Ovis aries: one gene and its partner. The protein of the gene in region 1 purifies or fractionates together with the protein of each later gene. This does not show direct contact. Links are inferred from orthologs where the notes say so. Each region holds a gene or a part of one and is shown on either strand. Other genes may lie near its edges.

Evidence for each region.
Region 2: the proteins of ITGA3 (region 1) and CD9 purify together in Homo sapiens (affinity purification with western blotting; 3 studies listed by BioGRID and IntAct, with this or other methods). This does not show direct contact. The link is inferred for Ovis aries from reciprocal best matches to the Homo sapiens genes ITGA3 and CD9.

What each region holds. Positions count from the first base shown.
Region 1 is NC_056064.1:36,300,853-36,303,668, reverse strand, and holds part of ITGA3 (integrin alpha-3), read left to right. Parts: intron 1-2,034; coding exon 2,035-2,457; 3' UTR 2,458-2,487; coding exon of another isoform or gene 2,488-2,598; 3' UTR 2,599-2,816.
Region 2 is NC_056056.1:209,986,418-209,990,990, forward strand, and holds the start of CD9 (CD9 antigen), read right to left. Parts: upstream 3,020-4,573; 5' UTR 2,879-3,019; coding exon 2,813-2,878; intron 2,416-2,812; exon of another isoform or gene 1-2,415. UniProt on the Homo sapiens protein: Integral membrane protein associated with integrins, which regulates different processes, such as sperm-egg fusion, platelet activation and aggregation, and cell adhesion.

The DNA of each region.
Region 1 (2,816 bases):
GAAAGAGGAGAGTGAACAGGTTGGCTTAAAGCTCCAACACTCAGAAAACTAAGATCATGGCATCCAGTCCCATCACTTCATGGGAAGTAGATGGGGAAACAGTGGAAGCAGTGTCAGACTTTATTTTGGGGGCTCCAAAATCACTGCAAATGGTGACTGCAGCCAAGAAATTAAAAGACGCTTACTCCTTGGAAGGAAAGTTATGACAAACCTAGATAGCATATTCAAAAGCAGAGACATTACTTTGCTGACTAAGGTCCGTCTAGTCAAGGCTATGGTTTTTCCTGTGGTCATGTATGGATGTGAGAGCTGGACTGTGAAGAAAGCTGAGTGCCGAAGAATTGATGCTTTTGAACTGTGGTGTTGGAGAAGACTCTTGAGAGTCCCTTGGACTGCAAGGAGATCCAGCCAGTCCATTCTAAAGGAGATCAGTCCTGGGAAGCTCCAATGCTTTGGCCAAGGGAAAAAAAAAAAAGTTTATAGCATATATGACAGAATATTGATAGACATTTTTAATATGTAAAGAGAAAGGGTGGCATACATAGGCATTGTACGTATGGTGAAATATAACAGCAGTAAGATTTTTTTATATCATATGAGAAAATATTAAAAAGAAGAATCCTGTCTTGTTCTGATAAGGTAGAAGGAAATGCTATTGATTGGAATATAGATCGATGGATTCTTTTTAAAGATGAATTTGTCAATATCTATTAAATTTTTAGTTGTATATTTCCTTTGATCTTGTATATGATAATATATTAAGGAGCTAATAGGACAAATTTGCAAACATAAATACATGGGGATATTTTAAAGCATTGTTTATAATGGCAGAAAATTGGAAACAATCTAAATATCTTTCAGCATGAGATTGGTTCAGTAAATTCTGGCACATTTCCTACAATGACGTGCAGTCGTCAGAAGAGATTAGGTTGATCTTTATTAACCGACATCGAAAAATGATGAAAAAGTTAACAGAAGAGTGTGTATAGTACACACAGATCCCATTTATGTGAAAGAAAAAATATATATGTTTAATATATACATTTAAAAATATGAAATAATAAAAGTAACTTTTTAAGAAATCATGTACAGTCAGAAAAATATTTTTCTATAAATAAATATATATGCAGGGGCTTCCCTGGTGGTCCAGTGGCTAGGCCTCTGCACTCCCAATGCAGGGGGCCCGGATTTGATCCTTGGCCAGGGAACGAGATCCCACATGCAGCAATTAAGACCCAGCACAGCCAAATAAGTAAATATTAAACACACACAAAGGAAGTTTAAAATATATATATGTGTATATATATGCAAAATATGTACAATAACTATATTATAAAACCTGTAATATAATATATATATATATATATATCTTCATTGTAGGGGAAGAAAAAATGCTACTATATGCTATGCATTCTATTTTTTTGTAAATATTTGTGGAAGTGTTGCTCTATACCAGGTATTTCTCAAAGCAGTTTACTCATATTAAACACATTTAATCCTCCCAGCAACCTATGATACAGATATTATTAGCATATTCCCTATTTCACAGGTGAACAAAAGAAAGGTTAAGTAACTTGCCCAAGGTCACACAGCTAGTGAATAACATAGTTAGGACTTGAACCGAGGTAGTCTGGCTCCAGAACCCATACTTTTGGCTGCCCTACTATACTATGAGGTAGGCATTACGATCCTATCAGAGAGCATGAAATGGAGATTCAGAGAGGTGAAATTACTTGTCCAAGGTCCCACAGCTTGTGAAGGATGGAGCTGGTATCCAAGCCTGGATGTGTGGGTCACAAACCGGACTCTAGGCTGCCTCCCAGATCTGAGATCTTGGTGTCTGCCTCTAGGAGAAAGGAGAGGACAGAGGAATCTGCGCCTGTCAATGGGCTGGCAGGGGCTTTTCCAGTCCCTGTGTGCCCCCTACAGGCAATAAATCAAACAGCAGGGTTCTGGGTCCAGCTGAAACAGGAAGGATGAGCTCAGGGCCTAAGGGGGTGGACACATGGCTGAGCCCCTTCTCACCCCTTCCAGTTTTCCGTGGACATTGACTCTGACCTGGTGGAGGAGCTGCCGGCTGAGATCGAGCTGTGGCTGGTGCTTGTGGCTGTGAGTGCCGGGCTGCTGCTGCTGGGGCTGATCATCCTCTTGCTGTGGAAGGTTAGAACACCCAGCCCGCCACTGGGACTCCCTCTCTGGGACCCACTGCCAGCAGACCCTCACCAACTCTCCCTTCATCTCATTCCATCTCACCCCACCCATCACCCAAGTCCTCCCCACTTTCTCTCCAGCTCCTGGTCCTGGGTTAATGGGGGACTTGCAAGCCGGAAAGGGGAACCAGGAGCTCTGGCTCCTGCCACATCACCAAGCTGGGGCTGGGAACCAGGCATCCAGGCTCCCCAGCCCTCAGCCCCAGTTCATGAGTGCTGCTGGCAAGGACCCCCCAGCTCCCCCTGACGGCCCCTCCCCACCTCCTCCCCTCCGCAGTGCGGCTTCTTCAAGCGAGCCCGCACTCGCGCCCTGTATGAAGCTAAGAGGCAGAAGGCGGAGATGAAGAGCCAGCCGTCAGAGACAGAGAGGCTGACGGAAGACTACTGAGGGGGGCAGCCCCCACCCCGGCCCAGCTGGGTAACGCGGCCTCCGGTCCCTCTTCCCCAAGCCCCCAGCTGGCTGGGGCCTCTGACTCTCTCCTATCTGCTCCTCTTCCTTTATGGGCCCTCTCTGCACTCCACTCTGTCTCCAGCACCACCCCCAAAGAGCAGGTCACTGCCAGTCTCCCCTCCACATCCTCGGAGAGCCCGGGGTGTCTGCTCTCA
Region 2 (4,573 bases), on another chromosome or scaffold:
GTGACTCCTACCCTCCCAACTCCTGCTCTTTAAGGCCACATCAGGTTCCAAACACTAAATTTATAAATTCTGAGTCTCAAGACAGAAAGGGAAGTGACGACATAACGATCCAAGCAAGGAGTTCCCTCAGGTCACAGCTTCCCTTAAAAATCACTTTTTGAGGGCTTGTTGCCACCCTCTTGTCATTCTCATCCAACTGGGTATGGTGGCTAGAGGTGACAGAAAGTGCACTGGGTACACTGCAGCCCATCAGACTTGTTTTCAAACTTATCTCTGTTGCTCTCCAGCCATCTGACCCTGGCTAAGTTACAGAACCTCTCTGGGAACTGGTTTCCTGGTCATTGGTAAAAACGGGGGTAATGCTTTCTGCTCTGACCGTATTGTGGAACTTGGAAAAGGACTTTGCAGGCTGTACCGTGCTGCACAAGGGATCACAGTGTTCCTTTACTCCATCACCTCCTAGGAGATGAGGGCTTCATCTCTATAGGGACCTTAATACAGGAGTACTGAACAATGGGCTTCCCTGGGGGCTCAGTGGTAACGAATCTTCCTGCCAATGCAGGGGATGTGGGTTTGATCACTGGGTCGGGAAGATCCCCCGGAGAAGGAAATGGCAATCCACTCTAGTATTCTTGTCAGGGAAATCCCACACACAGAGGAGCCTGGTGGGCTACAGTCCACGGGGTCATAAAAGAGCTGGACACAACTTAGCGACGACACAACAACAGCGACAACAATAGCTGATTCAGATTCATGCAGCTATTGCTTACCCCCCACACCACCCGTTGCCAGGCCCCCTTGTTGGTTTTGCGATGGAGAAGTAAGAGGACAGGACCTAAAGGATCTAGGGGCTGAGGTATTGGCTTGGTTCCCGTGATGCTGATCGGATCAGCCCAGTTCCGGTTCCCACTTCTTTACTGTGAAGAAGTTGGACAGGATGACCTCGAAAGTCATTCCTAATTCTACACCCAAAATGAGTCATCTCTGTTTCAGGTGACACTGCCCATCAGCAGCACTGATGCCCAGGTTGGGGCAGCTCTGGACATGGGTGGGGTGGCAGGCTGGAGGCTGCCGGAGAGGTCTGGGAGTCGCCCACCAGGCTCTGCCAGGCTCTTCTGTCCATGGCATTCTCTAGGCAATAATACTGGAATGGCTTCCTGTGCCCTCCTCCTCCAGGGGATTTTCCCGACCCAGGGGTTGAACCCATGTCTCTTGGTGGGTTCTTTACCACTAGCGCCACCTGGGAAGCCAAGGAGTCACCAGGGGACTAGCAGGGGAAAGAAGGTGCTAGGGAGGGGCTAGAGGAAAACTCCTTAAAGGACTAGGGTGGGGAAAGGCGGGGCTAGCCCGCCTTCCACATTCTTTTCTGGTGTCTCGGTGGGGGTGAGGAGGAAGCCAGGTTGGCAGCTAGCTGGGTGGCTGCTGGGACTGATGGGAATGGAGGGTCTCCCTAGAGCAGGCCCTGGACTGGGCAAGGCACGTCTATGCTCCACCTTCACTAGGGCAGGTGTTTGGTGTGATGACTTGAACAAGGGCAGGTCCATCTCATACCCTGTCAGCTCCAGGGAGAGGAGCAAATCTTGTGAGACTTTCCCCTGGGGCTCATGGGGAAACAGATCCGAGTGAATAAGTAGTTTTGTTACAAGCCTCCTGTGGCATGCCCCTGCTTCTATAGCCATCTCTCTCTGGAGAGCGGCACAGGGTCTGCCTTTCCAAATGCCTTCCTAATGGCAAAGGGGAAAAACCGTCCACCTGTGAGCGGGGGAAGTGACCCTGGAACTAGGACACCAAGTCCCCTACCCCTTGCCTCTGTCTCTGGGGGGCCCCTTAATCCCCCTAGGGAGGGCTCCGAGGGGCCTCTCCCCTTCCCCGCTGCCCGCCTCAGGCTGCCGTAGGCTGAGAAGCTGCCAGTAGCCGGCAGCGGGAGTCCTGGAACTCCCAGGCCTGCGTCCTCCCCAGGTGACAGTCCGCTCCCGGTGGCCCCACCCGGCTTCTGGGTGGGCTGGCGGGGGAGGAGGTGGGGTGGCCACCTGATCCCTCCCGGAAATGGAGAAACACGGGACTCATCCCACGCGGGCGCCGATAAGCATCGGCCCCAACTCTCCCCAACTGCCTCGGAGTTCTCTCCAGTCCAGATACTTATCGCCCTTTGGGGAAAAAAAAAATCAAGACAAGCTAGTCTTTCAGGTAGTTTCGAGGGAGCTCGGACTTTCTCACGCCGGCTCAGAATCAGTCTGAGAGGTCGGGGATGCAGGAGGGACCCCGACTTTCATTCACGAATGGGGTCCCGGGATGCCGACATCCGCGGTTGGGGCGTCCCTTCCCCTCCCGTGCAAACGTGCCAACAGCTCTTGGCTGAGCGTCCCTGGCGAGTCATTAGTCCCTTTTTGCGTCCGCATCCTTCCCCTCCTCGCGGCCCCGGATACTCGGGGGACCCCGCCCGGGTCACGAGCCGCACAGTCCGCCACAGCCTCCCACGATCAGGGCCTTAAGTCCCCAGCAGAGGGGTGCTCTGATTCTTCCTCCTGCACTCTGAGGGGCTCGGGGTGGGAGCATACACCAACTCCAACCGCAGCTCATCAGGGCTCTTCAGCCGCCCGCCTCGCTTCGGACGCGCCCCGGATCAACCCGCCCGCCCCGCCCGTCTCGACTCGGGCCGAGGAGTTAGCTGGCGGCCGCAGAGCCCTCTCCTCCCCGCCAGGAGTCTTCCCCGCGCAGGCGGGGCGAGTGCCCGGCAAAACCGATCGCGGACTGAGTGCGCCGGGCGGACAGGTGGACCCCGAGAGGCGCGCGCGGCCGTCCACTCACTCACCCAGAAGATGAAGTTAAATCCGAAGAGCAGGTATTTGATGCACTTGGTGCCTCCTTTGACCGGCATGATGCGAGCTAGAGTGGCCTGGGTTGGACAGATGTGAAACGGGGCCGCGTGAGGCCGGGACGGGCGGGACCGGGCTGTGGACTGAGGTGCGCGCGGCTGCTGGCTGGCCTCGGGGCTGCACTTTTAAAAAGTGCCACTCCTCGGGCGCGCGACGCCGCGGTGCGCATGTGCCGGGTCCCGGCCCCGCCCCGCCCACGCCCCGCAGGCCCCGCCCCCGGCCCACCTGCCACGCCCCGCCCAGGTCCGGGGGCCCGCGGCTCGTCCCGCCTCTGTCTCAGTGCTCCCCACCTAGTTGGCCGGACCTGACTTCCCGCCTTGCCTTCCCTTTTCTCCCAACCGTCCTGGAGTCTTTCTAGGCCGTCATCCTTGGCCGATTTCATCCTGGAATTATGTGAAGGCCTCACTCCTCTCGGTTCTCTCCTGGATTCTGCCCCTCCCGAGCCCTCTGCCCTAGGGAGAACTTCCCCGGTGGGTGGTGAGGGCAGAGGCCCCTTACCCAAGGTGGCGCGCAGAATGAGGGCTCTTCTTGCTTGGGGCCCGATTTGAAGAGAAACTGCCCTGTTTCTGTCTCCCTGGGGTGGCTCCTTGTACACTTTAACTCTGAAGCACACTCTTCACTCGGCACATGGAGGCTTGCCTTCCGGATGGGAGGATTCGTAGGGGCTTATGGAAGTAATCCTGAAATACCATCAATGAATAGTGATAGGTCTGAGAGCTGGACAATGTGGGGTTGCTTCCTGGATCTGTGGTTTAGATGCCCCAGAGAAGAAAAAGGCTGTAGCCTGGCTTCTGTTCTTGCCTCTTCTCCTCATCACCCTCCTTCTTGCCCTTGCCACTGCCCACTGTCACATCTTTGAGCTCCTGTGCCAGAGTTCTTAGGGTGTTTCTCCTCTGCTCCAAAATGTCCAGCAAATGACAAATGTTGGTTAGGATGTGGAGAAAAGGGAACCCTCCTCGATTGTTGGGCTGTGCTTAGTCACTCAGTTGTATCCAACTCTTTGCGACCCCATAGACTGCAGCCCACCAGGCGCCTCTGTCCATGGGATTATCCGGGCAAGAATACTGGCATGGGTTGCCATGCTCTCCTCCAGGGGATCTTCCCAACCCTGGGATTGAACCCAGGTGTCCCGCATTGCAGGCAGATTCTTTACCATCTGAGCCACCGGGGAAGCCCCCAAAACTGTTGAGAGGGAATACAAATTGATACAACCATTATGGAAAGCAGTATGGAGGTTCTTTAAAAAATTAAAAATAGAACTACGCAGCAATTCCACTCCTGGGTATTTGTCCAAAGAAAATGAAAACACTATTTGGAAATATATTTGCACCCCTATGTTCATTGTAACATTATTTCTAGCAGCCAAGATATGGAAACAACAGAAGTGTCCATCAATAGATGAATAGATAAAGAAAAAAAAATATATATGATGAAATATTACCCATAAAAAGAAGGAAAACTTGCAACCACATAGATGAACCTAGAGGGTATTTTGCTAAGTGAAATAAATCAGAGAGAGAAAGACAAATGGAATCCAAAAAAAAAAAAAAGTATAACTAACCAGAAACAGATACAGAGATACCAACAGTTGGTTGCCAAGTGGAGGTGGGTAGGGGGAGGAGAGAAATAGGTGAGGGAGATTAGGAGGTACAAACTTTCAGTTGCAAAATAAATGAGTCATGGGTATGAAATGTACA